Coturnix japonica: one gene and its partner. The protein of the gene in region 2 interacts with the protein of the main gene of each other region in a pairwise test. Links are inferred from orthologs where the notes say so. Each region holds a gene or a part of one and is shown on either strand. Other genes may lie near its edges.

Region 1 (5,598 bases), on a different chromosome or scaffold from region 2:
TAATTCCTCCATATATGTGAAGGCAGTTGATTTGCAGCAAGGACTCTGACTACGATGCAAGATACGTCTTCTTTCCTTTGCAGACAAACTTGATATTTGGCTGGAAGCTCTGCTCTTACAAAACTCTCTCTGATTCAGCAGAGACCATGGTCAGTCTTCAGCTGGGAATCTTCAACTACGAGGAGGTATTCCCTCTTGATTTTGAGTTTTGGCATAATATTTTTCAGCTCTACATCCATTCAAGTAGTTAATCCCCAAAACGTACTCCTCTGCTCTTTAATTCCTACACAACCCTTACCTGATATGTGCCCTGACAGTCTGTGTAAAGACACTCCTAAATAGAAGCCCACAGACATGTTATGTCTGCTTTGATAGCTGGGACACAACTGAGCTGGTTTGCCAGTTTTCACCTCAAACTTCCATACCAATACATTCAAATGCAAACACTTAAAACAAGAACAAAACACAGAGATTGCCCATATTAATATTTCACATTATATGAAATATTTCATCTTCTTTGCACCATATTATATCAAAGCCCGAAAGTAACTAAAGGAGAAAATCTATTTATAAATGTATGATATATAAATATAGCATAATTTATTACGCACAATGATTTTCAGAGGGACAAACTCCTAATGGCGTGATAGCTGCTTGTATGTAAGCTCCCTTTTAAAATCAGAATGTGATGTCTTACCTGATTGATCTTTCAGATCTTGGACTACAGCCCGATTTTAGGCTCCTTCTTAATTGGATCCTGCATCATTTTCATGACGTTTGTGGTGCTGAATCTCTTCATCTCAGTGATTCTGGTTGCTTTCAGCGAGGAGCAGAAGCACTATCAGGTGTGTTATCTCAGCTCTCCTGCTGTTCTTTAACATCAGTCGTGCACTTAATCACAACATAGGTATCCCACCACCTGATGAGACCTATGTAAACTCAGTATTACTTTTAAGAAGTCAACCTATTCCCATAAAGCATGTTTCAGATTTGCCAGAATTACTCTGTCCATTCCTGTTCAGATCCATAGCCTGGCATTCACACACTAAATCCAGAGCCCCAGCTCCATTGAAATCAGTACCAAAATGGCTACAGAATCGATGAGGCCTTTACAGCTCCTTTTAACAGTGTCACTGAGCACCTGGTCTGTTCAGATATTGATGGCATTGTGTGAAATCCACGTTGGGCATTAGGAAACATTCCTTGTCAGAAGGAGCAGTGATTTAGTGGCACAACTGTGCAGGGAGGTGGAGGAGTCACCAACCATGGAGGTGTTAAAGAACATCTGCTCCTGGCTCATCTGTTAACTGGTCCCTTGTCTTTATTTCAGGCTTCGGAAGAGGAGGAAATCGTGGACTTAATGCTCATGAAACTTTTTGGTTTCTTTGGGATTAAATGCAAGCAGGAAGAGAAGACGGGCTGTAACGATCAACCAAAACAACCCGTCAGCAATTAATGGCTAACCGTAACGAAAACGCTGCTTTGTTTGTTGGCTCAATATCGTGTTTTGTAACTGCCAGACTTGGGCTATCGTGCTTCTGACTGGAATGCTGTACGTAGCCTTGCAAACTCTTCCTGATTGATGCAATTGTAGCTAAAAACTCGCACGAAACGTGAAATAAAGCATCCCATGAGCATCAGTACGTGTTATTAATCAACACCCAGCGTTATCTCCCTCAGCAGGGCACACAGGGAGCTGCATCCAAACCGCTCCTACCCTCACCACACACACCGACATGGCGGCGCTCCAATGGCCGCCTCCATCGAGAGGCGGGAGCTCAACGCGGCGCCGCCCCCGGCCGAGGCCGCCCGGTAAAGATGGCGTGGTTGGCGTTGTGGAGGCTCGGGCCGGCCTTGGTACCGCGCTGTTCGTGCCTCTCTGTCCGCCCGCAGGTCCCCGCGGTGAGGAGGCTGAGCACCGGCTCGCTGCTGCTGTCCGGTGAGTGTTGGAAGGGCCGCTATGGGCCCGGTGTCAGTGCAGCAGGGTGGGAGGGCTGCAAGGGATCCCCTGCACCGGGCACGGCGCTGAGGTTTAAATAGGAAGGAATGACAACACAGAAATGCTTTGTGTTGTGTTTGAGCTGCATCGTGCAGGATGGAAGGGCTGAGAAGCCCGGGTAGGGAGCTGCAGCCTCTCAAGATGGCTGGAGAGCTGTGTATGATTCCAGGGGCACAAAGAGGAGCCCTGACACCGGGGACCGATGGGTCTGACCGGGTTATGTGCAGGTTGTGAAGGTGTGTGTGTGTGCAATGTGCTGCTGTGCACAACAGAAATGCTGGATAAGTGATGGCTACCACTGACAAGTTTGCTCCCATACAGCCCAGTAACTCGCTGTTCAATGCCTGCTGCAAGAAACAGCATCCATCGTTATTTGCTTCTATCACTAATCGAGTTGCTTAATGTACCCGCTGCTTTAGATGTAACCTGATGAAATAACACGAGCTGTGCTTCCGTTTTAGGCAGAGAGGAAAAAGTTTGGTATGGCTGATTGTGGAGGTGTGAGTGTTCCTTCACTCTTCAGGTCTATATTTCTGAAACACTGAACAGAGGCAGGATGAACCATTTAGTTCCATTTAGAGGTGTGAGTTTAGGATGTGCTCGTTAAGCTGAAACCAAAGCCATGCTGCAATGAATGAAGCTGGAGAACATGAAGCTGCTATTGTGGCAAAGGACGCTCACAGAGATTTGCTGTGCTCTGATGTCTGATATCCCTATATTTTGATCTCTTTCACGTGCAGGTCATGTAAGCTCAAAGTTCAGATTTTGAGATTACTCATTAACTCCTTCTCATTTGACCCGGACTTTATTTACTTTATATATGTGGGCTTTACCACATGGTTAGAATTTCTCATTTTAATCTTTGTAAAAAAAATAAAACTATATATATCCTATGAGAAGCATACGAGCATTTGGGGCTATTAAGAACATATCAGTATCTAACAAAGCAGTGAAATTTGTTTTCTCTTTTCCTTCCCCATAATCTCACCTTTTAAACAAATCTTGCACAATATCATTGTCCAACATAGAAAGATACTGGCTGGCTCCTCTGTGATGTGCATGACGTTAATGTTCAGCGGGGGCTTGAGGTCTTGCGTTGTTCTGTTCTCATGGTTCATTACTCATTTCCTATGAAATCCCTATTACCTGGGGGTTAATGCATTGACCTAAAGCAGTTTGGTTTCTTCTGTTCATTAGAACATGTCCTGAGAGATTTATGTAGATGTTAATAGCGCTAGATGAAATTCTGTGCTCTATTTGAGTGATGCTGTGTGGAAAGATGCCTTATTTGCATTATACTCGGTCTGTTTTGTATGCTCTGCTTCTGTATATTGTGCTGCCACAATAAATATAACTGTGAAACTTGAGCTGCCATAAGAGAGAAACTATTTGACCTCTTCCACACGTTCAGCCCATATAGATGAATCACAGCAACTGAAACAGAACATTACTGACTAAGCATGAGGATTTTACCAGACCTGTAGTGAGGATTTCTGCTTTCTGTTATATGTGAACCAAGGAAATAAGGCTTTGATGTCAGGAAGAAAACTGCTTCAATTTCTTCTTTTGAATGTAAAAATAACTGCTGCTGGGAAAAGAACATGAGCAGCCCTGAGTCTCACAGCCCTACACTATATGCGGAATTTTAGGGCTGCTGTGGAAGAGATGTAACAGTCTTACACACGCACATCTTAGAACTATTCAGAATGAGTACTGTGTTGTTCTAAGAGTATTAACATCAAATTCTCTTAAGTAACGTTTGCCTGTTTGAATGGCCCCATTAATTTTACCTATATTGATTGTGCCTGTTTTTACATATATCAGTGATGACATTGAATGGGAGAAATAGACAGTAGAGAACACGTGAGGAGAGGGAAGGGATTCAGCTGCCCGGAGCAGGCAGGCTGCAGCTTCACCTGGTCACTCTGCTTCATGTTTTGAATGGGATGCTGCAATGCTGACACTATCATGTTATTAATGCTGGCCTTCTGCCTGCAACTTTGTTATTCCTGGGAAGGAAACACTAAATATGCTTGGGAAGACCTCAAGGCATCATAGAAAAGGTTATTACTGTGAGCAAAGTAAAGATGTGTGCTTTGGATTTGTATTTTACGTTTGAACTATTCCTTTTACCCCCATGGTTGACAAGTTTCTGGATGATTGCATAGGATCTAAGGCTGGCTGTGGGGCAGAACCCTGCAGTGAGCTGCTGCTGTGTCACTAAGCATGTCCTGAGCTGAACAAAGTGCTTCTGTAAATTGTATTTGCTGTTTGTAGCATTTTCCAAGGGGGGTTGGGGAGGAATCAAAGCACCGAACCTCAGGGGAAAGCAAAGCAAAGCAGCAGGGTTTGTAACCAGTGTATTGTGTTTAAACAACTTGCCACTGATTTCTGAAGTATCAAGTTTGTTTCATTGTAGCCCGCAAATTCACAGACAAGCATGAATGGATATCAGTCGAAAATGGCATTGGAACAGTAGGAATCAGCAATTTTGCACAGGTATTGATCAACTCTCTCTTTTCCTACCCAAGTCTGCAATATTTACTTACAGATACCTGCTCCTGTCCTTGCTCTTTGGATAGCTGCTGTTTTTTTATGGTTGTAATTGCATATCCTATACACGCAGAATGAGGTTTTTGGACTTGGCACCGTCACATTATTTGAGAAGTGGGCGCTGTTTCAGCATTCTGATAGATTCTTAATCGGTTTAGATCGAGCCTGTGGGGAGCTGAGTGTGATGGAAACTTAATGGTTCAAATGAATTCAAAACTGCATTTATTACCACAGTACTGTAGGCCTTGGGAGTATGTGGCTGTGGTGAAGTCAGATTCCACTTGAACATGAATGTGGTGCAATTCCTTTGGCTAAAAAAACCTATTCCATGCTGAAGTGTAACACAGTCTATATTTCTCAATATAAAATAGTGGAGGTAGGGGGGAACCCTTTGGAGTTTTGTTCTGCTCTGATACAAGCATGTGATTTGGAGTAGTGTTGGCTGTGCAGTTAGCTGTGCTGGCTGGTGCTGAGAAGATAAGCAGATGCTCTTTCTCATTCTGCCTGAATAAATCTATAGATGACATGCCTTACAACTCAGCCCGAGGGTTATTAACATCATAATGGATAACAGTTAATTTGGCATTTGGGTCATGGTAACCTAACATTTTTGTTTTAATTTCAAGTTAAGTGTTTAAAAAGTAGAAAATGCACAATCTTTAAATAACATCTACATTTACACAGGGTTCTAGAACCACATTTATGCTGGTTCTAGAGTTACTGTGTCAGATAACTCCAACTTACAGTTTCTTTAATGTAAACTTTGCATTTGTTTTTCTTTTCAGGAAGCATTAGGAGATGTTGTTTACTGTAGTCTTCCAGAAGTTGGGACAAAATTGAATAAAGATGGTAAGTTTCAGCTCTAGTTCCACTTCTAGCTTCTTTTCAAAGTCAAATTCTATTAAGTAATCTTTATGTTTGTTAACACCATTACACGTCTGGATGCAAAACAGAAGCAGGTATTTCTATGAATGGAGATGATGGCTTTCATTGCCAAGTCTCTGAATGCATGTCTGGTATACTATGCGTGATAGTAGAAGGTACCT
Region 2 (3,905 bases):
CATGTCTAAGGCCGTCTATGAGGTATGGAGAAGGCTTACTCGTGACTGTCAGTATTGGTGGAATTGTGGGGGAAGTATTGGTTAGGGAAGGTAATATTTCCATTCCAGTTGAAATAGCTTTACCAGTTTGCAGACTGTGGGACTAATATTTTAAACATGGGTTTTCAATGTCAGATGAAGAACTGGTGCGATTAAATAAGTCTTACAGGAATGAGAAACTGAGACTGATCTTATGTGGAAAATGAAGATAAAAAACAGTCTTCCAAGATTCTCCTCTAACTGATATATTTCAGCTTTGTGTGATGAAGATAGAATTGAATGGGACTGAATGGGTTGTTTCCATTGCTTCATTAAATCCCAGCACCTCCTAGACGAGGTTACAGCACCCAAGGGATTGGCATTTCTTAAGTGACAGTAAGCTGGGCAAAGGCCAAACGCGGTCTGAAGATGGCTCTTCTTTCTGGAACAAATTGGTTCATTACCTCAGAGTGCTGTGAAGTCGTCAGTACAGCAAAAGAGTTTTCCACAGGCTGTAAAAGAGCTGGTTTCTGTGTCATTTTGTTTAGCCTGAGAGCCACTGATGAGCAAGTTATGCTTCCATATTGCAAGCTGGGTGACTTATTGTATGCAGTATATCCTTGGAAAAACCAACACTCTGTTTGAAAGTCCTTACTGTAATTTGCTTTGATTGAAACTGCTCCTTGGTGAGTGCATTTGCCTTGCAGATAGGTAAAGTTATGGAAAAATGCCTCATGCTTGGTGGTAATATTTGAAAGCTGAAACACTTTCTAATATCTACAGATTTTGCTGAAACGTACTTCTATCTCCTGTATGTTTAATTTTGCATTTAATACTTTTTGGGCTGTAGACAGAGCTTTGTGTGCTAGACCACGATAATTCTGAGCTGAAGAGAGACATTGAGAAGCTCAAAGAAGAGCTTGCAGAATGTTGTTCAGCGCTCTCGCAGGATGGTAAGGTAATGCTTGCAATATTTTACAGTTATTATTTTAGAAGGACACATTTTTGGTCAATTCTAGACTGTTGAGGTCAGCTGTTTACAGTCATAGAATGACCTGGGTTGAAAAGGACCGCAATGATCATCTGGTTTCAACCCTCTGCTATGTGCAAGGTCACCAAACACCAGACCAGGCTGCCCAGAGCCACATCCAGCCTGGTTTAGCATTTAAAGCTCAACTGATTTCAGTATAAAGTACAGCTTGATGCTTTATTTTCTTACTTTATTTGGCAAGAAAATGTGAAAAAGACTAAGGATATGGAAACAAATATGAGTGTGTGAGATACTGATGAGTGAGAAAAGTGAAGAAAAGTAGAAAATAAATTAAGTGGAAGACATTGGAGTAAAAAATGCACGTAGTATTGCTATTAATTTTCAAGTGCTCACATTTAGTATTCCTTGGGTGTGAGGATGGCAGAAAGAATGAGTCCTTTGGCAGTAGTGAGAACAGAAAGAGAACAAGCTCTGAGTTAAGATGCTGGTTTTGAAGATAGGTGACAGAAATGCTTTTATTGCTCAGGCTGTTTTGTCTTGGAGGAAAACAGTATTTTCCTTTTATTTTGAAACAGTTTCAAAAGGGGAAAGAGACGCATCTGAAACTCCCTGGTATCTATTAAAGTAGGCTTTCCTAACCAATGTTTTCATGAGTACTCTTACCTACTCTCATTATAAAATACTTCTGTTTTACTACGATGGTAATATGCAAGGTAATTTATGAACAGATTCACCATTGCTGTAGAACAATAATGCAAGTAAGTAAAAAGAAACGATAGCGATGACTCTCATACTTACTTTACAACTTCCTGTTGTAAATTAAATTACATGAAGTTTGTTCTCTATCTTGATTCTAAAATACTAGATTAAAAAAAGGGTGGCAGAAATGAAAGTGGAGTTCACTCGCATGGAAGACACAGAGGGTGACATTCTGGATATGAACACCCACTGCGTTTTTTCTGTAACAACAAGAATCCCATTCAAACTGAACCAAAACCGAGCACTGCTTACTTTGGAAGATGAAGAAGGTATGATGCATATTTGAAGTATAAAATGAACGGCTGATGTATTTCATTACCATAATGGGTGACTCCATTATGCATGTATACTGCAGATACATCTGATCCATTATTTCAGCTAAAATCTAACAGCCTTAGTGGGCATTCTCCACTGCTGGTAGTGATGTGTTTTTATCTGTGGGTTTTTGAAATAAAATACCAAAAGTCCAGTATTGATATTTCATACAGTGAGAGCATCCTTTGACAGTATCTTTTATTCTAGAGACAGTATGGTGTTTTAGCTGTTGCCTATAGCTAGTGAGATTGAACAGCAGCAGATATGCCTGAAGTTGTGGGCAGTTAGATATGGTTGCCTAACTGTCAGTTATTTCTCCTTTAACAACATGAAAGGAGATTTTGCTTAAGAGACTGACAGGTTGTCAAGTTACAGTGATGAAACAAGGCTTTTCTTACCTGTAACCTTGTGATTTTTCCTTAGTTGCCCAGAGACTGACAAAAATGGGTAAGCATACTGTGAACCTGGATGGAACTACAGCAGATGTGAAAGTGGTGCCTTTTACAGTTGGACTGGGAGTCAAATTTGAGGTAATCAGCTGAACTATGAAATGACAAAGATACACACTTGCAGTACTTAAGAAGCTTTAGGTTTGGTTTTGTGGGTGTTCTCGATCACAAAATGCACAACAATTATTTCTTTAGCTCCACATCACAATTTCTGGAAAGAAGATCAATGTTTCGGAAATCCCTGAGCTGCCAATTCCTGATGAATGGATGAAAGACAAATTAGAGCTGAATTTCTACAAATCTGAATACGGAGGAGGAGTAGTAGAAAATATAAGATATGACAAGAGGTCCAGAACAGCTGTGATTACGTTCACTAGACCTGGAGGTATTGCATGTAATGTTTTGTTAGCTGGATATACAAGCCACGTTGTCCCTTTATTCCCTTATGTTCTGAGTTAACTTAACCAGTGAATACAGCTAATTCTTCCCCAAGGAGAGTTAAATTGATCAGGAAAAGATGTAGGTTCACCCACACATTTGTGAATAAAGCAGTGCTTCATCACATTCCTTTTTGATCAAACACGATATGCAGCTTGCCCACTTTGCTTCTTTCTTAACTTTGCCAGAAAACCCTTTTTTTGCTTTGGATTGCTCATGAAAATTAGGAAAACATGTCTGATTTGTAGCTCTCGTTCCATAACAATGAACTGAGAGAAGCATTCGGATTGCCCAACTGTAGGCATTCTGGTTTAAGTGCATGAAATTCTACGGAGGCCAGCGGAACCACATCTATTTACAGCAGCTGCTTTAGTTTTATTTCAGAAGCTTTTGTGGGTATTTACTGGTTTTGGTTTTTGGAAAGGCCAAATAAAGTTGGTTGGCCTTTTTATTTTTTACTTTTTTCAAATTACATATGAAGAACCTGCAAATGCACCATCATAGGTTTATTTCTAGATCCAAGTAAGAAAGGTCAGTCTGCTCTTTGATAGTTGTACAAAATTGATCTTGTAGGTCCTTTCCAACCTTGTGATTCTATCATTCTATGAAAATGCATTTTAGGTTATTTTACTGTTCTTTTTCTCATTCTCCCTTACAGCAATGGCCAGCATTGCGAGATGTACTAAATACCCTTTCTATGTAAATGGAAGGTGCCATAAGCTTTCTGTGTCCCCAAGGACTGATGGACACTTGGAAAAGCTTCAGGTAAAATACTTCATATGCAGATCAGATCCATAGGAAGCACAAGAAATGGGCAGAACTTGTAGTTCCAAGGACTGCCCAAGTTTCCTATAGTAAGTTTCACAAACCGAGTACCAGTGTGACTCTGCAACGTGCTGATTGTCTTATATTTAGTACTGTGAAAAAAAAAATAA

What was found.
Region 1: the proteins of NMI (region 2) and GCSH interact in binary tests that used the Homo sapiens proteins (3 or more experiments, as listed by UniProt). The two-hybrid records come from large-scale screens. The link is inferred for Coturnix japonica from reciprocal best matches to the Homo sapiens genes NMI and GCSH.

What each region holds. Positions count from the first base shown.
Region 1 is NC_029526.1:13,644,725-13,650,322, reverse strand, and holds the start of GCSH (glycine cleavage system H protein, mitochondrial), read left to right. Parts: upstream 1-1,777; 5' UTR 1,778-1,818; coding exon 1,819-1,939; intron 1,940-4,418; coding exon 4,419-4,498; intron 4,499-5,337; coding exon 5,338-5,401; intron 5,402-5,598. Other genes in the region: PKD1L2 (polycystic kidney disease protein 1-like 2), read left to right, coding at 84-185, 714-845, 1,331-1,456. UniProt on the Homo sapiens protein: The glycine cleavage system catalyzes the degradation of glycine. The H protein (GCSH) shuttles the methylamine group of glycine from the P protein (GLDC) to the T protein (GCST).
Region 2 is NC_029522.1:30,826,081-30,829,985, forward strand, and holds part of NMI (N-myc-interactor), read left to right. Parts: coding exon 1-22; intron 23-868; coding exon 869-976; intron 977-1,874; coding exon 1,875-2,037; intron 2,038-2,506; coding exon 2,507-2,613; intron 2,614-2,727; coding exon 2,728-2,917; intron 2,918-3,628; coding exon 3,629-3,735; intron 3,736-3,905. UniProt on the Homo sapiens protein: Acts as a signaling pathway regulator involved in innate immune system response.